Arabidopsis thaliana: one gene and its partners. The protein of the gene in region 3 interacts with the protein of the main gene of each other region in a pairwise test. Each region holds a gene or a part of one and is shown on either strand. Other genes may lie near its edges. The genes, in order: AT4G15700, TY1, AT4G00980 and AT5G08650.

Region 1 (3,255 bases), 8.5 Mb from region 3:
AACAATGCAAAGATTTTCCTTATATGGCAGAATCCAATTCCTTACACACTTTGTTATTTTAATGGTTAGAAACGTCATTTTTTATCATGATGTTCAACAATGTTTCTGTAGATAGACAGTGAAGAATTTAATGATTGATTTACCTTAATTCTAAATTTCTTTAATTGATTATAGAGTTGTTCTAAGATCCATATCTCAAATTTACGCAATCTCCTGTATTTTTACACTTGTAAGTTGTAACTAGCTAATTCAGTTGACAATCACGCCTAACATTTATTAACAGTTGCATATCATTGTAAGAATTTCGTTTGAAAAGTTAAGGCTTGACATTACACACGATTCAGACTCGTCATCGCTTTTTAATTTGTGGCAGATACAAATACAATATTCTTAGCCTATAAAATATGCCTTCTTCAAATTTTTAAATTAATTATTATGTCTTGGCGCATGTTCTGCATAAATAGTTATATATTCTTTCTTTTTTCCTTTACACCATAAAAAATCATCTATATTCAGTGCACGTGTATTCATTTCTAGATGCATATATGTATACAAAATTATATAAATATGAATTGGGAAAAAGGAGAAATCCAAATGTTGCTGATTTTTATTATAAAATATAAATATCTCTTAGATGCATGTTTACAAAATAGGTAACCGCATAATCTATCTTTTGAAAACTTAGATAGATAGACATATATAGTAATAAACTCATACATACATTTTTGTATATGTTTTTTTTACCTTTTTTTGTTCACATTAATAAGTTTCTCAGAACCTAAGTCATTTGCAATTCCATTTATTTTGAAGTCAAAGCCATAAAGCTCCAGCGCGCTTAAGCATTGGAACAAGGGAGCGGTTGAGATGGAGACTCATGACTTGATTGGCTCCACCAACAAGCTGCCCTCCTATGAACACCACTGGCACTGTCGGGCTGCACCCGAGCTGAGCCAATGCATGCTCTATCTCCTTTCCTCTGCTAATCTCATCGAGTTCATAGATCGTCGGGTTCACGCCAAGGTCTAAGAAGAGAGTCTTGATTGTGTGAGACATGCAGCAAGAGTTCTTGCTAAAGATCACTACCGACTTCTCGGAGATCATCTTTTGTAGATTCTCCATTAGTAATATAACGTGATAGATATTTGAAAACTGTCTTGCAAAGGAGAAAAATAGGTGTGTTTGGTCAAAATGCTAGATTAGAGATGAATATGGGAAAACTAGATAACTTATAGAGAGATTATTGATATATTTGGGTGAAAATGAGAAGTGACTCTGTGTTTTTGTGTTTGATGGAGTGAAGTGGGTAAGGTCCTTTATATATAGCTTTCTAAAGTACGTAACCTTTCTTATTACGTTGCCTTTTTCTACGAGAATCAACTTTAGCACAAATATGAAATATCTCAAATTGTAAGTAAAGAAATAAAAGAACACAATTTTAAATGATGAAAATTAAGATAGTCGAAGTATTCCGAAAGAATCTGAGGATATTATCGGTTCACACGTCTTGACTCTTTGAGTCTTTTTCCCTCTTGCAGCTAAAGAATAAAACTATCAACTAATTTGGTAAAACGTACAGAAAACAAAATCTCTCTTTGATATATATGAGGAATAATTGATACGGACGAATAATGTCATGTTTCATTAGTACGGCCTTCATTGTGAAAACCACTGATAAAAAGCAGAAATGAGTTTTATCTCTGCTAAACTCGTTTGACTTATAAAATTTCAAAATTCCGAAATATGTTTTTAGTTTCAAATAAAGTTGAAAATTGCTAATAGTGTTTACTCCGGATTTCATTTTGGCTCATTTAGGCTTGTGATAATAATTTTTGGTTTTGAGAATGTTACTTTCAATCTAAATATGTCGTCAGGAATGCGTCAAAAATATCCAACACATTATCGACATATAAATGTCTTGACGCCTATATACGAAAAGATTTCATGTTATCGTGAAGTCGTCGTTAATTGAAATTATCGGATTTCGTGTACTATACTAATATAGTATTCAAAATTAATTGAAATATTTCTTACAGTATTTTTGAGTCTAATAAGAAATTATTAATAATATAGCAATTATTTTTTGTAACGGTTATGTGTACATGATATATGGAAAAATATTTCGATATCTAATATGCTTTCAATCATACTTTATAGTATTTCATAGTGTATGTGTTCTGCTGAAAATCGGGTAAAAATCATTGGATAGCTTGGACATAGTTTTAGATACGCCTTGGACATAGTTTTAGATACGCCAAAAAGAGTTGCAAGCTTCAGTGTTTGAGAAAACTCGAGAGAGTATGAGATAATATCTCAAGAATTGTTTTTTTATAACCACTTGAGAGAAAAAGGCAAACTTTGTGGTTCCGTTTTAGCCTTACCGTCATGCATGAAATCGAATCTTGCAATGTCAAAGAATAAAACAAAATTGAACTTTATTCCCTATTCGATGAATAAGATTGCTAGAAATTCAAGCTCGTGCCCAACAAGATGGATATGATAGTATGATAGTGAAGCAACCACGTATATATATATCCTAAAACCAAAAATATACAAAAAATGTAAAATATTAGTTTTTTTTTTGTTTTTCTCTTCAAAATAGTATTAATGGTGGCCCATTTCGATCTCAAGAGTCACTTATTGTTACATCACAATACAAGGTTATCATCATTTTCAGTGTACGTGATTCATGTACCGACACATACATTATGTAATATGCCAAATCACATCTTATTCTGCAACTTGCCCGTACCGTCCTAGAGCATGGAATATATGTAACAATGCAACGTGTTCCTCTTATGGTAGAATCCAATTCTTTACACACTTTGTTGTTTTAATGGTTAGTAGCGTCATTTTCTACCATGATGTTGAACAATAACGCCCACAACTTTCTTAAATGGATAGAGAAGAATTTAATATTTAGTTTACATCTATTCAAAATTTTCTTTAATTAAAGATAGATTGTTTAAAAAAAAAAAAGATAGACAGATGACACAGATCTGCTTCATTCATATGATCATATCACTAATTTACGAAAGCCGCAGGCCCGCAGCAAAAGTTTTACTTGTAACTAGTTAAATAAGTAAATAACATCAGATCCTAACATTTAAATCCTAAGATAAACTTTTTTTTTCTTGTAACAAACCCTTATTAGTGTAAGAATTTTTCTTTATAAAAAGTTAGATATCTTTCTAAGTCCATTATGTGAAATTACTCGTATGAACCAATTCCCATAATTAAGGCTTTACATTCTATTAC
Region 2 (3,749 bases), on a different chromosome or scaffold from region 3:
GGCCAGACCAACGAATCACACCAAAGATTAGGGTGAATCCAACAAGCAGATGCAACAACACATGAATAATGAAATCTCAAAAAGGAAGAAGAAGAGAACAGAGAGGCAAACGAAGCAGACAGAAATCGAAGAAGAGAATTGAAAAAAATGCAGAGCAATTGTGTTTTTAACTTGAGAGGAGACGCGAGACGCAGGTATATAAATTTATTTGTTTGACATTCAAGTTTCCTTTTTTCCTTTTCACTTAGGGTTTGTTATAGTCCAGAGCAAACACAAACCTTAGGTTCGGTGATAATCTAGCCGTTATACACGGTTCGGGTCAAATACTTTCCATTTATTAGCTGATACGCTCCTACTAATTTTTGGTTTAGATACTGATTGTATTTTGATTGTATTACACGTTGACTTTTATTGTTTTAAAGAACAAGGCTAAGAAGAACAGATAATAAGAAAGTGGGTTCTATCCTTAAAAACCAACAAGAACCCTATCTTAAAAACCTAAGGAGTGTGGTTTCATTTATTTCTGGATTGAATCAGTTGAATAATGAAAACAATAATAGACATAAGCAGAGTGGATCCTGCAAAACATGGTAAACGAAACTTTTTTCTTCTCTTCTTTCTTGGTTTATCTTCGATTTCTTCTTCTTTTTTCCCCTCATGATCTCTTGTTCCTTCCTCAACAACCTCTTCTTCCTCTTCTCTCTGTGGCTCTTCTGCTTCTTCGTTTTCTTCCTCAGGTTTTGTCTCTTCTTTGATTTCTTCTTCTGGTTCTGTTTTCTCCTCTGTTTTCTCTTCTACTATCGGCTCTTTCATCTCCTCTTCTTCGTCCTCTTCCTCGATCTTCAGACCGGTAATTCCCTTAACTTTCTTAGGCATTGTAACAGTTAAAGTCCCATCTTCTTCATTAAACCTCGCTTTGATCTTGTCAAGAATTACAATATCTGGAATCCGAAACACTTTTTTGAATTCCTTTATTTCTGTTTCCTTTTTCCATTCCACCCACTTTACCAAAACCATCTCTTCAACCTGTTTTCTTCCGCTGATCTTAATCAGATTCCCTTCTTTGTTTATCTCGATATCGATACCATCCTTCTTAAATCCTGCATTTGGTTTTCAATCTCAATCTCTATGCTAGGTAAGAAAAAAAGGTGAATAAATATGAGAGGGAATAGAACCTTTGAGATGAAGAATGAGGAAGAAAACAGAGTTGGTTTCTCGAGAAAGTGAACGATGACCAAAAGAATCTCTGGCAACCCGAAAATCTGTAGAGGAAGAAACATCGTCTTTAGTCCGAGTGATCTTCAGACCTAATTCAAGCTCCATCTTTTTTAGTTGTGAGCTTCTTTTGATACATCTGTTTTTAGTTTTTGCTAAAGTCTCTCTCTAGTCCACACTTTTCTAGTTTTGTTTAAATTAGGCTATTTCATATCGTTTCTTTGAAGAGGCCCACAAGAACATATTCGTAACTTCCATCTTCAGGAAACTCAAAAACGGAGTCGTGAGTTTTGTCTTTTGTTACCCTCAACGGTTTTAACTGTCCCAGTTGCGTTGGCGGGAAGTAACAGCTATCTTTATAGTACTAGTTGATAATGATAACCCTTTGCGATTGCATTTACAATGAGATCTGTCATGTCATATGATTGAGCCTGAAGATTGTGAGCAAAAAGTTAAATTGAAGAGTGATCGGTGTTTGGGAACGGGCCTATAACATGTGGGCCTAGAACATGTTTGTGGGCCTATAACAAAAAAGATACGGTGTACTTGACCGTAGTGGATCATCATTGTCTTTCTAGTACCTTGTGTCATTTTCTTTCAGAGTTCGTTCTCTCTTTTTGGTCAATTCGAGTTTTTTTTCCACAAGTGTCCAACTTTTTTTGTCATCATCAACCTAACCAACCGCCAACGCCGAATCAAGAGATCGTTTGTTTTTTTCTGATTCTTTCATGGCGTCAATTTCTCTCTCTTCTTCTACGGTTCCGTCGCTGAATTCGAAAGAATCGTCAGGTGTTTCTGCTTTCGCTTCTCGTTCTATCTCGGCCGTCAAATTTCAGTTTCCGGTTCGTCGGGTTCGAACCGGAGACTTAAAGTTTCCATCTTTATCTTCAACGACTCGATGCACTCCTCGACGTGTAATCGCCTTTCTCTGCTTAAACATCTTTTTCCAAAGCTTATATTTTGTTCAATTCTAGCTTACTTAATTTTACCCTATGAATTATTGAATTCAAGCTTCAAACTTTCTTCTGATGGTAGAGCTGATGATAGCTTTCCTATTTTGAAATTTTTCTTATTTTAGTTTCTATAGCTGATTTTCTCTAGAGTTTGGAATTGATTTAAAGTGAGTGCCTTTATCTACTTCTTGATTTAGATTGAACTAAATGACAAACCATTCTTGTTCATACTTCAGATTGAAGCCAAGAAGCAGACATTTGACTCATTTGAGGATCTGCTTGTGAACTCTGATAAACCAGTTCTAGTTGACTATTATGCAACCTGGTGAGTTTGTTTTGGTGTCAAATGATAACATGTGTTAGTTGAGTGGTCATCAACCAGTTCTAGTTGACTATTATTCATCATGAATGAGTATACTTGGTCTATGTTGGGATCCAGTGTAGTCTGTTTGCTTATTATCGAGTTTATTTGTTAAACAGATGATTTGGAATCAGAATGTACTGTTTGTTTGGCAGGTGTGGTCCTTGCCAGTTCATGGTTCCAATACTCAATGAAGTGAGTGAAACCCTGAAAGACAAGATACAGGTGGTGAAGATTGATACCGAAAAATACCCCAGTATTGCTAATAAATACAAGATTGAGGCACTTCCTACTTTCATCCTATTCAAAGATGGGGAACCTTGTGATCGCTTTGTATGATGACTTCAATGCCTTTGAATTTCTTCATTTTCGTTTTAAGGTTCTTAATCTCACTCACAAACGTTTCTTTTTTTGTGATTTCCAGGAGGGTGCTTTGACGGCCAAACAACTCATTCAACGAATTGAGGATTCTCTAAAAGTGAAGCCATAGTTGGATCATGAACTCTTTTTTAATTATTTGTATGTTTTTCAACTGTCCCTGACCTATTCAGGACTTAGTGATAGCGATGTTTTTCGGTTGATTTAACTTGGAGAATTTGAGAAGAAGAAGATTATGTTTGCCAGATTTGTAAAACCTTGTTGTGAGTAATGATGATCTTTTATTCTCAAAAGTAATAACAGAGACGCTATTTTTCAAGCATTCGTCACCAGTTACATAAAGATTAAAATTCTCTTAGCAAAAGAAAACATAGCAGGAGTGTAAAGATGAATACTAAGACTCAAGGGTTAGAAGGAGAAGCAGAAGATCTAACAACGGTAGTCTTGAAATTCACGGAGAGAGGCAGTGTTGAGGAGGCAAGAGCATGGTCTTCACCATTGTTGTCAGAGTCATTGCCATCACAGTAACCTTGGAGCATATCACCTTCTTGAGCAGTAAAACCAAGAACACCAATCATAGTAGGCCAACACTTGCGTCCAATGGTTCTTATAGCACTGCAACACCCAGGGCCAATGTAAGTCTCACCGTTGAGGAAGAACAAGATCAGCTCTCCAGAACAGTGTTGGAGCTGCATCAGTGAGTCCCAGCAGTACCCTGTATCTTCATCAAGCTTGAGCCTGTACACAAGGCTTGTGGTAGGAGAAGACGTCCCCATGGATGGTTTCATGAGAGGGCGAGCTGTCACTGTGGAGGAAGCCACCATGAGCATGAGAGTCACAAT
Region 3 (4,169 bases):
ACATCGATAAGCTAGTGGAGAAACGTTTTCTTTATATATGGATACAAAGCATCAATGGTCACGACCTTACTTGAACTATAGGCTCGTACATCTGTTTTCTTGAGAAAATTTCTCAAGAGACAGGCCCTAAACCCTTGTTGATGAACCGTGACCGTGCGGCTTGAGCGTGATTGACGGCTACGATTGTCCTTGGATGCATCCGGTGCTGTAGAGGATGGTTACTCGGCTCGGTTCTCCCTTGCCGGGGTGGTCGCACGGCGGTCTGACAGGTTTCATTTTTTTTCCTTTTCACCCTGAAACTTTTAATTTCTTCTATTTTTCACCCGCTAATTTTATATTACTCTCCATCTGGTCCTTTTTAAAATTTCGACGTTCAAGTTTAATTTTAGAGGCTGAGAATATCTTCCATAACGCTTGGGACAAAGAAACTCTTAATTTTTGGTTGTGTGTTAAGTATTGTCACCTCAATTGATGTCAGTTTATTTGTTTGTATATCAGTTTTGAGGTTTCTGTTTTTATTTTGGTTCCTCAAAATAGGATTTAAAAAGCAATTTTGACAAAAAAATTATCATTCATAAAAGTATACTTTTACATTAAATCAGGCCAAAACTGATCTATTGGTCATCTCTCTGTTCTTCTTTTATACATTTCAGTGTCATAAATCTAATAGGCCAGACATATGGACAAGCTGAAAAAAGGTCATAAAAGGACTGCTTCTGAATCCTGAATCAACGGTATTCAAAAGACTTACCTCTTTAAGTATATCTGTGAAGAGATATAAACATTTTGGCTTCAGCAATCATCAACTACTACCCCCTATCATTGTTTGTTGTTGCTTGAGTCTCTGATTCCACAGGTGCAGCGACTGAGGAGTTGATCCGGTTTGATTTTCCGGAAGCTCTCTCATCAGATTTACTACCCCAGCAATGCTTTGCGAGATGTCCTTTCCTCCCACAGTTGTCACAGACGATGATGACTCTCTCGTCTCTCTCAGGTTCTTTCCTCTTCCAACCTACGCTCTGAGATCCTCTATGTGTTGTTCCTAGACTCGGTGTCCTTTCCATCTGAGAGGAGCCTGTGGCTGGTCTATATGTAACCCCTTTTGCTCCATTTCTGAGAAGCTCTTCCTCAGCTTTTACTCGTTCCATCAACATCCAGACTGGTAAATACTCCTCTTCCATTAACCTGGTGCAGAAGCCTCTCCAAGACGGGGGAAACTTGGAGATGATGGTACTCACATGAAATGCCTCATCAAGAAACATACCAGCACTCACTATGGAATCCGCAATCTTGTTAAAGACTTGGACTTGCTCGAGTATCGGTCTCTCTTCCACCATTCTGAATTCAATGTACTTTCTGACTTGTGACCTCTTCGATTTGGATTCATCACACTGGTAGACCCATTTTAACTCGTCCCACAATTCTTTGGCATGCTTAAATTTCTGAGAGTATCGACGGTATAGATGATCTGACAAGGAGTTCATCAAGTGAGTATAGCACAGGTAATCATCTCTCAACCATTTTTTCCCCGTAGCATCAGCTCGAGTTATTTCCCTGGGGTTGGTTTCAGGGCCTTGAGAGCTACCAATACTGGGACAAGGTTCAGAGAGTACATAAGTCAGCTTCAATTGCTTCAGAAAGAGTTCCATCTGTGAAGCCCAGTAAAGATAACTCTTTCCATCAAATCGTGAAATCTTGATAACAGAAAAACCGTGAGAGCTGTCCTTATCCACAGCCTCAGAAGTATCTCCATTTCGTGCTGCTTCAGATCTGCATAACGTTTAATAGCAAGATAAGCAGCCTACATTGCTAGCCAGACAGTAATGCCCTATGCCACGATGATTATATGACCATAAAACACTAAAAGCAATGCCAGGGAACATGAATCTTTATAGACTTAAAATAAGGTACACATTCTTACTTTAGTTTTGATTGGCACTGCTTAATACCGTCCTCTATCGCTGCAAAATTCTTCTTGATTACAGACCATTGGTTAGTTGACAAATGTGCTCCTGACAGAGAAGAAACATCTAACAATTGAAATCAACAGGAGCATATCTAAAACAAAAATGGCTACTTATAGCTTCATAGTCAAGACCAAGACACCAAGTTGTGTTTCAAATTACCTCTAAAAGCCTTTCCATGTTCCTGAGAACCAATCGATAGAAAAGGTTGGCCTCTGTATCTTTGAACCGTCGCATTTTGCTTCTCCGATAACTACAGTTAAAGACCAACAATTTCTACAGTGACCACTGAAAAACTCAAAATCGAGATGATCACAATCTCTACTCTATACAGTGAATCAAACATAGAACAAATAGGCAAAGTCGCAACCTTACAAATAAAGCGCTCATCTTCACCACCAACGGAAGCGGCAGCAACAGAAACTGTCTCATTTTTCGCCGGAGCCACCGTCTCCGGTACGAGTGCTTCACCGGGAGTCGATAGCAAAAAGACCTCAAGAACATCTCTGACTAGCTTCTTGTGATTGGTTCCCGATAAGTCGATACCGAGTTTAGCCGAAGCGTCAAGTCGGAGTTTGAACTCCGTCATTTGGTCCATATCAGATTCACTGAGTATGCTCTTCACTGTTTCCTCGATTTTTTGTGTAGCGACAATCTCCATAGTTTCACCAGAATCAAGCAACGAATTCTCCATTTCGCCCGAAAAAGAAGAAAAAAAAGGATAAAGAAAAAGATTTCGCAGTAGCGTCGAGTTTTGGTTGTTGGCCGGCGTTATATTTAGGGTTCATAAATCGCCGGGGGAAAAAATTTGGCCGGAGTGTGAAAAAAAGAGGTTCTACCGAGAATTGAACTCGGGTTACTGGATTCAGAGTCCAATGTCCTAACCGCTAGACCATAGAACCTTTTTGCTATAGCTGTTGCATTTAATACTTTATATATGCAAATATATATATATGAGTTTTTTTTCCTTATCTATATATCTTTTCTGTTTTATAATACGATATATGAATACATGGGTGAGATACGAATACGATTGAGAAATATATGGGTGAAATACAGTTTTTCTTCACGAAGCCGATAAGATACTAAGAGTCGAATCCTTCTAGAAACTAAACCGACAGAAAGCAAATTATTTTTGAAAATTAAGCTCAAACAAAAGAGGCTAAATATAAAGATAGCAAGGTAATAGTCATTAACATTTGTTGTGAATAATCTAGTTTGGGCTAATGTTAATCTTGTTTTACTTGTCTTCTCACTGCATTGCAGCTTAAGAAATTAGTATTGCATGCTGCGAGCTCAGACTCAGCCAGAGGGCTAACCCAACAGATTTTGATGCCTAAAACATCTTTAAGCTCATTTAAAATTCTTAAGCATTTTAAATCTATTTATAATTAAAGTCTCAAAAAAACGAAGGTAAGGTTCGAACTGTCCACGAAAGAGTCACTAATCTATGAAACAATCACTAGACTACGAAACATTTTTAAAATTTGATGCCCTTTAATATTATCTATAATTTTAGGCGCGTAAAGCATGAGTTTCACCAACTTTAGCCCAGGGCCGGCCCTGCTCAGCCATAAGAGAAGCAAAAGATGTAATGCAAAACTCCAATACGCAGTAATGATAACAAAAAAAAGTTTGTTCGTTAAAGCTTATCAATGCTTACAAAACATCAAAACCAACTTGACATGTGATGGCAGTAACAAAATCGAGAAGGCGATGCTAAAAGTAACTTCATAAACTAGATTGATCAAAAGTACTCATAGCTTCGGAATCAACATAAGACACCAAATATGTTCAAGTCACCTTTAAAAGCAAGTTAATAGCCAACAAACAATGTGCATTTCACATTTCGCTTCTCCAATAACTAATGCCTAACAATTTACAGAAAACATCACTTCTTTCCTCGACAATCCATTGTATTATTTTCGTGAAATGTCATCATAGAAGAAGCACTTAAAATGAAAATTGGGTTGGCCCATGAATTTGAATTCTCTAACCCAAGACCAAAACCCATAAAAGTTATTTACGACCATCGAACCACTTTTTTTTTTTTTTTTTTAACGGCAAACATTTTTCTATTAATTAGCCCAAATGGGCTTCATAAACAGGTACAACTTGAGGCCAAAAGCCCACTAATTGCAAACATTAAATAGACAATATGATGACACATGTATGCAATGTGGAGATTGCAGCGTAGATCAACGT
Region 4 (7,718 bases), on a different chromosome or scaffold from region 3:
GATGTGTAAAAGATAGTTGGCAGCGCCTCGTGTTTCCATCAATCTACTTATCCAAACTTTTTGGGCAAGTGAAATTGTATCAATGAGATTGCTGAACCAAATTTTTGTATTCAGGTGTAAGAGTGCGTATGTATGCTGTATTCATAAAAGTTCATATTAAAGAGCTTAAGCAAAATAACCTTATCCCTGTGTACGATGGTTGACAAAGGTTCCACCATTTCAGCATTAATCAGAATATCGAGTTTTATCAGATCACTTTCCCTGTACCTGCTCACATATTACAAGACAAAAAAAAAAAGTTGAATACCTTAAGATGGTAAGAAAGACATCAAAAAGAGCAAAAGAAACATATTATGTATTAAGCTTAAATGGAAACTGACGAAGCTGAGTAGTTAACTTGTATAAAGAAGGGCTACCAAATTTAACGATAGAGAGCAACACGATAATTAACCTGATTGAAATTGATCTGATGCTGCTAAGCAAATATATATATTTTAGATACTTGTTTATCACTTTGGGATTACTATGAAAAGAATATAGATTCTTATCTTCACAAAAAAGCTGACGCATTTCTTTGTTAATCAACAAAAATAGAAGGCAAGCATCACAAAGTAAGAGAAAGATCTGTGTATTAAAAGTTGAAAGATCTAACCCAATAACGGAGTATTCCATGCTAGCATATCCCTTGGTTCTCGACTTCAATTGGTCAAAGAAATCACCCACCATCTGCAAAATGGCAGGGAGCGATTAACAAGAAGATCAGTTTACATAATCAAGAGAGACATGGCTAAACTTTCATTGGGGTTATCTTAACTCTGCACAAGCAGAGATCTCACCTCTGCAAGAGGTAACTCATAGAGGATTGAAGCTCTGTTCTCAGCTATATATTTCATTTCTTTGAACTCCCCTCTCCTCTCTTGAGCGAGCTCCATAAGCGCACCAATATAGTCTTTTGGTGTGAGCAGTTCAATCTGTATAAAATGGTTTTGCAGTAAGGAAATGTAATTCTACGAAATGTGGTGTGTGAACTTATCAGCAATATCTCCAGTAGAAAAGGCAACCTTAACGTATGGCTCCTCGACCGATTTCCTTTGCCCAGGATCTGGAAGGCGTGATGGATTTGAGCACAAAGTCTGCAGTAAAATTGATTTCACAGGTAATAAGGCTCTAGATCAAGAAAGAAAGACAAAAGGATGCGATTTTCAGGGAACAAAGAAGAATATTTAAAAGTTTGGGATCAAGAGGAAATTACAGTATCACCATTTACAGAGTTCACCCTATAAACAACACTTGGAGCTGTGGTAATAAGATTTAAGTTGTACTCCCTCTCTAGCCTTTCCTGTGAAGAAGAGTGAACTGGAGCGTAAGAACAAAGAATGATATAATTCACTTTGTTGAGTATAATTTATGGCGGGTATCTATCGGGGAGGAAACTGTAAATAAGTAAAATACTAACAGATAACTCAGTATCTATGAATTTCTTTTCTCTATCTTCTGTTGCATAGGAAATTTTCAGTCAGAGACGCACCAAAAACACTTTAGAACAAGAAGAGCGAAACATATCTGACCTGCACAATTTCCATGTGGAGAAGACCCAAAAACCCGCATCTAAAGCCAAATCCCATGGCACTCGAAGTTTCAGGCTCAAACTGCAGGATAAAAACCAAGTTGAGGACAAACCTATAGATATGTTAATGCTAACGTATACGCTCCTTAGACCAAATGTGAATATTTTTAACAAAGATACATACAATAGAGGACTGAAGACCAGTTCTTTGCAAAACACAATTTTACTTTCCAATTCGAAGCCAACTGGGCATAAACATACATTGGCTAAGTAAGCATACGAAGACCATAGTTGTTTCGTCCGTGCAAATTATTCTGGGTACAGATGAAAGAAAAATGTTGTTTCTGTCATTTAATTCTACTATACCTTCAATGCAGCATCATTGAGTTGCAGTTTTTCCAATGCATCGCGAAGATCGGGAAACCTGCCATCATAGACCAGGTGTGAAAAAAAAAAATACAAAATGAAAAAGCAAAAAGTCAACAATGAAAAACAAAAACTCAGTACTGGTCAGCGTCAACTGGAAAAAGACCACAGAACACCATAGGGGTAGCTTCCTCGTAACCAGGTAAAGAGCTTTCTGCCTTTCTGCTATAATGTGTTATTGTATCTCCTACCCTGGCATCTGCAACAGATCTTACAGAAGCCGCAATATATCCTACCTGTATTTAAGGACAGTAACCTTTAAAATATGTGCAAGAAATGTGGCATGATATTCAGGCATATCTGATATACACCAGCAGCATCAATCAGTGCTAAAAACATCTTTCTAGCTATTAGAACTTGAGCAAGGGAAGATGCAACTAACCATTTCTTCTCAAATATAGCCAAACAAGAAAAGTGAAAACATATTTGTTTCATTGCATTCAAATTGTTATTAACCACAACTCTATCTTCTGCCAAAGCTGCTACAAGGAAATGCTAAGAAAATCCTTCCATTTACAAACGCTTTTAGTTTTCCTATTAACATGTGTTGGAATAGAACGGCGGAAACTGCAAAAGAATACTGACATTTTCATTTCATAATACCAAGGTTTCTGCTGAAAGAAAAAAATTCAACAAGAAAATGGGACATGGATGCACAGGAAAGTAAACAAAACAAACAAAATATTATGTTCAAAAGAGTACACTACCTCACCCGCATATAATTCATCCACTTGAATTTGATTTGGAGATAGAACTCCGACTTCATCCGCAAAATAATCCTGCAATTGATGCAAAACTGAGAACATGAAGGATACTAGTGAAACACAAGTAAGCGTTCTTAAAAGCTTAAACATTCTCAAATTTTTCCTGAAAGAATTATAGAATAACACTTCACATCGCTTTATTCAAATAGACCGCGAAAACCTATCTCATGCACAAATTACATTCAATTCATTATTGGCAAATGGAAAGCTATCTCGATTAAATAGAAAGACAGTACAGTAGAGTAAAAGAGATAAACCTTTCCGCTTGCCATGAAAAAAATTCTGTCGCCTTTCTTCACTTTCCCATCGATAACTCGAAAGTATACAATGACACCACGATATGGATCATAATAACTGCAGCAAAATGAATTTTGGACGAAAAATATAAAGTAGTTCACATATAAAAACTGCACACTTGTAGACTAATCAAGCAAAACAAACACGAGTATTTCACACTCATTTTTAGTTCACCAGTGATTAACTGGTACTGACTTGACATGCCAATGATCAGTCCAATCATTATATACGAATACAACTTCGACTCCAAGACTCAATTTCATACTGTTTTCTCTAGAAAAGGCAAAAATCGTTATGAATAAAAACAACAAGTGCAAACCTGTCAAAAATTAAAGCTCTTAAGGGCTTTCCTGCAGTATCGAGAGGTGCAGGTATCCTTTGAACAATTGCATCCAAAATCTCGGTAATACCAATTCCCTCCTGCGTGTATATATTATTCCCCAAAAATTGTAATTGAATGGATAGAAAGCCACACGTCTTAATTTTTGGGTAGCAGAATAGCAAAACAATTTTAAAATCTAACCTTTGCCGAACAGAATATCGCTTTGCTACAATCTAACCCAATAACCTACAAACAATATGAATTATCAATCAGTGTTCACATAAAGGCTGATGTCTCTGAAATTGCAGCAATGAGACAATTACCCCATTCGAGGAACATGAGACTGGATCATAATATCACAAAGAAAATGTTTAAAGCATAAAAGAATGTACCGCAATAATCAACATAATATCTAATACTAGAAGCTAGAACCTTGTAAAATGTCAAGATAACATATTGACAACAGAAAAATAAAAGACTGAAGAGTTTTTGCAGACACCCAAAAAGGAATACTGTTCAAATTATTACTGGTTGCATTGTATGATTGCTATTGAATACGAACATCATAAAATGGGTAACACAATGAACATAATCACCAACCTCCTCAATCTCCCTGAGAACTTTCTCTGGCTCAGCGCCTGGAAGGTCAATCTTATTTAAAACCTGCAGGAAGAAGTAGAGTTCATTTGCTTTAAACTCTGGTATGCAGACCAAATATTTGAAAGAAGAATAAACCACCTTACATTATTATTTCCTGTATAGTCATGAATCAGGTTGAAGCAATAATGAAACGTTAAATGATATAATCATTTTATCCTAGACTAGCTATTCTTTTCTTTACTACGCATCTTCTATGTACTGCCAGAGTGATACTACCTATTTTTTTTAACATATTTGCCTTGTTTGAAAGTTAACTTATTGCAGACTCCGACTTCTTTTAAATAAAACGACATTGACATTTTTAAATAATCTTCCATGGAGATGAGACGAAGGAAAGAATGATGATAACTACCACATATAGTTGAAATGTGATTTGTTAAAAGGAATGATGATAACTAGCACATATAGCTAATAAGATGAAGCATAATTCCGTACTTACGGGAATAATTTCGAGGTTGTTTTCCAAGGCCAAATACACATTAGCCAATGTTTGTGCTTCCACACCCTAAAGCACATGATAGAGGAAGTTTAAGTTTTTCAGTAATGTAAGTATGTAACCATCAGAAAAGAACGAAATTACCAAGCGAAAAAACGGCATAAACAATACAGATTCCAGGTTTCCACAGCGTGTCAGAAAATTGTATGTCAAGAGAAAGAAAAATCACCTGGGATGCATCCACAACAAGAAGAGCACCCTCGCAAGCAGCAAGAGATCGGGAAACCTATGTACAAATAAACAGTGCATTCTTCATCAAAACTGCAACTTAATAGTTTGTGTATATTCCTAACTGTAAAAAAAATTACGCTTTTAGGTGATATATAACACTCAAACCAAGTAACTTCTCACATATGAAAAATAACTATAAGGCTAAGCTTCAAATGTATCCGTAGACAATAAGTAGATTAGAATATTGTAAGTACCTCGTAAGAGAAATCAACATGACCTGGAGTATCTATCAAGTTGAGGCAAAACGGTGTATCTTCATAAACATAACGCATTCGAGCTGCCTACACAAACATACACCGCAAAGTTACAAATCAGACCGTTGAGCAATCTTATCGAAACTGATTTTTGATTGTGCAGAGAAAGCGATTGAAAGAAAAACCTGAAGCTTGATAGTGATGCCTCGTTCTCTCTCTAAGTCCATGTTATCAAGAAACTGCTCCTTCATATCTCTGTTCTGAACAGTACCAGTCACCTGAAGCAACTTATCCGCTAACGTAGATTTCCCATGATCAATATGAGCTATAATACTAAAATTCCTGATGTTCGAAATTGGAACCTGCGAATTTCATAACAAATTCAGTTTCAAAAAAAATCCAAATTCTTCTCAAGTTTCGGCACACGGATGAAGAGAGAGAACAAAACAGAACCCGACCTTCAAAAGACGGTCTTGACCAGAACGGGCGGCTAATTTGGAGCCAGAGACAGAGAGACCGCTCTGAGGCTCAGTTCCAGCTGTGGCTTGGCAAAGTATCTGTAACTTCCGATTAGAGTGACGGCGGAATCCAGAGACGGAAATGGAGGAGAGACGACGGAGAGATGGGGAAGATGTAGAAGTTCCGGATAAGAAAAACGTTGGAGGAGAAGATAAGTCCATAGCAGAAGCCATGGCCATGGCACTGTCTAAGCTCTCTACACCTCTCTCTACTGTTTTGAGAGAAATTCAAAGTATCCTGAGCCACAGACTATGTAACTGGGCCACTGTATCCAATTGGGCCTGTCCATCGGATTCTAACCCACCCGACCCGATTCGATCCAAATCTGTTTTCTTAAAATAACGAATTTGTTTTGTGTGAATTAAACCGAAATTAGACCACAAATTTAATGAAACTGAACAAGATCAAATAAATTGATTTTAAATCAGATAATTCTAAACCCAAAAATATTCGAAGTAGAACATCAAATGTCAAAAAACATAGAAATAAGCTTTTTGTTCAATATTGTTGTGCTATGATTTGATTCGATGAACCAGAAATCATGCATTTTGAGAATATAAGACTCTTTTTTATTCAATGATGAGTTGATTAGTGTTTAATCATTTCTTATATAAGATCTTCACATGCCTTTTAAGACTAATTTAATCCCTATGAAAAGTCCTAACCTTTTAGCGCAATTTCGGTTTAGAAGTAAGAGGAGTGAGGGATTGAAAGTAAAGATGAGTTTTTTACTTGCACGGAATGTAAAAAGACAGAGCACAAAATGAGTCAATGGCGTGGTAATAAGGGACGATTTGACCAATCCATCACCGCCTGTGACTCTTTTTATTAACATGGAGTGTGAGGAGATTAAAAGAAAAAAGGTTTAGACTTTTCTTCGTTTGTTTCTTTATCAAGCTGGTTGTTTCAATTTGGCTTTAGCTGATGCCAATTTGGTGTGGTCCAATCTCTCTTTTAATTTTTGTTTTTCTGATTTCTTCCTTCGTTCCTAGTTCATACTACTCTCCTTGACTTTCTCCTTTTTAACATCAATTCTCTCGTGTTCGAGGTTCCTTTGTCTCTTTTGTCTTTTCACTGTTGTGTGTCGTGAATCCCAAGCTCTATACCTCCGAAATTGGCTTGGCCCAAGTCTTTTCTGGTCTTTTTCTCTACTGGGTAAGTCTTCTTCTTCGCATTCCTCTCCTCAAAATACGATCTTGCTTAGGTTTTTTGGAGAAAGAAGACTTGCACAGTGTTTGACTTAAAGGCTTTTACTTCGTGAACGGCTTTGGCTTTATGTGAATCTGTTAATTTCCCCCAAGGCGATTACAATGTCTTAAACTATTTCGGACACGATCCTATCTCTGTGTTACTAATTTAGTTTGGAAGATTTGGTCTCCTTGAGTCTCTTGATCTGACTTTTTCCTTTGTTCTAGGTTATTACTCTTCCCCACAGTGGCATGATCTTTTCGATAACTTAGCTTAAAGGTCTTTGGAAAAGAGTTATGGGGAGTTTTTGCTCCAAGAGCCTTGGAATCAATTTTGGCAGCGAGTATTCTGGTTCTAGTGTGGCTGATGATGGTCGAGAACCTGATTTTGGCCACTCACAACCAAATGGGCAAACCAGTTTGATTGTTCCTGGTATGAGGCAGCTTATGGTTAAAGACGTCAAGGAACAAAATCAATTAAAAGATGTTTTCTCTTTCCGCGAAAGGGAAGCTGAAGATAATTTCTATGATGGAATTCCGACGTATACTATGGCTCCATCACAGAAAATTCGGTCTGCAAAATCAACTCAAACCGCTGTTTCAAAGGTTAGTATGGACCAAATGAAGCTCCTTTTTTAGCAACTAAGATTAAGAGTTAAAGCATTGTCTCTTAGTAACGGCAAGTGTCTTTTAAGTTTAGAAGTCCTGAAATGTCGTGAGACCAATCCGAATTTGCTATACTGTGGCAGGTTACAGAGGCAAGTAAGCTTTTAGGCAAAGCGGGGTTAGGTAGAGCAAAAGATGTTTTGGATACCCTTGGAAGTAGCATGACAGATCTTAGTAGCGGTGGATTTACTTCTGGAGTTGCAACTAAAGGCAATGAACTTGGGATCTTAGCTTTTGAAGTAGCAAACACAATTGTCAAAAGCTCAAATCTCATTGAATCCCTTTCTAAGAGGAACATCGAGCATTTAAAAGGAACTATCCTTTATTCTGAGGGTGTTCAAAACCTAGTCTCGAATGATTTCGATGAACTACTCAGACTTGTTGCAGCT

Evidence for each region.
Region 1: the proteins of AT4G00980 (region 3) and AT4G15700 interact in a two-hybrid assay, tested with the Arabidopsis thaliana proteins (one large-scale study listed by BioGRID).
Region 2: the proteins of AT4G00980 (region 3) and TY1 interact in a two-hybrid assay, tested with the Arabidopsis thaliana proteins (one large-scale study listed by BioGRID).
Region 4: the proteins of AT4G00980 (region 3) and AT5G08650 interact in a two-hybrid assay, tested with the Arabidopsis thaliana proteins (one large-scale study listed by BioGRID).

What each region holds. Positions count from the first base shown.
Region 1 is NC_003075.7:8,935,409-8,938,663, reverse strand, and holds AT4G15700 (Thioredoxin superfamily protein), read right to left. Parts: upstream 1,307-3,255; 5' UTR 1,120-1,306; coding exon 811-1,119; 3' UTR 540-810; downstream 1-539.
Region 2 is NC_003070.9:28,811,143-28,814,891, reverse strand, and holds TY1 (thioredoxin Y1), read left to right. Parts: upstream 1-1,727; 5' UTR 1,728-1,943; coding exon 1,944-2,129; exon of another isoform or gene 2,130-2,404; coding exon 2,405-2,493; intron 2,494-2,684; coding exon 2,685-2,862; intron 2,863-2,953; coding exon 2,954-3,019; 3' UTR 3,020-3,207; downstream 3,208-3,749. Other genes in the region: AT1G76770 (HSP20-like chaperones superfamily protein), read right to left, coding at 514-1,100, 1,176-1,323; EC1.1 (egg cell-secreted-like protein (DUF1278)), read right to left, coding at 3,309-3,749. UniProt on the Arabidopsis thaliana protein: Thiol-disulfide oxidoreductase that poorly activates chloroplastic malate dehydrogenase (NADP-MDH) and fructose-1,6-bisphosphatase. Provides reducing equivalents for peroxiredoxin Q.
Region 3 is NC_003075.7:421,923-426,091, forward strand, and holds AT4G00980 (zinc knuckle (CCHC-type) family protein), read right to left. Parts: upstream 2,667-4,169; 5' UTR 2,659-2,666; coding exon 2,335-2,658; intron 2,218-2,334; coding exon 2,127-2,217; intron 2,013-2,126; coding exon 1,922-2,012; intron 1,771-1,921; coding exon 810-1,770; 3' UTR 556-809; downstream 1-555.
Region 4 is NC_003076.8:2,807,566-2,815,283, forward strand, and holds the start of AT5G08650 (Small GTP-binding protein), read right to left. Parts: upstream 6,038-7,718; 5' UTR 5,656-6,037; coding exon 5,416-5,655; intron 5,320-5,415; coding exon 5,143-5,319; intron 5,045-5,142; coding exon 4,958-5,044; intron 4,759-4,957; coding exon 4,702-4,758; intron 4,542-4,701; coding exon 4,476-4,541; intron 4,040-4,475; coding exon 3,977-4,039; intron 3,623-3,976; coding exon 3,578-3,622; intron 3,475-3,577; coding exon 3,374-3,474; intron 3,112-3,373; coding exon 3,015-3,111; intron 2,773-3,014; coding exon 2,701-2,772; intron 2,230-2,700; coding exon 2,075-2,229; intron 1,992-2,074; coding exon 1,934-1,991; intron 1,650-1,933; coding exon 1,569-1,649; intron 1,340-1,568; coding exon 1,253-1,339; intron 1,134-1,252; coding exon 1,062-1,133; intron 972-1,061; coding exon 837-971; intron 727-836; coding exon 653-726; intron 268-652; coding exon 180-267; intron 1-179. Other genes in the region: AT5G08660 (D-lactate dehydrogenase (DUF668)), read left to right, coding at 6,961-7,269, 7,413-7,718. UniProt on the Arabidopsis thaliana protein: Promotes chloroplast protein synthesis. May act as a fidelity factor of the translation reaction, by catalyzing a one-codon backward translocation of tRNAs on improperly translocated ribosomes.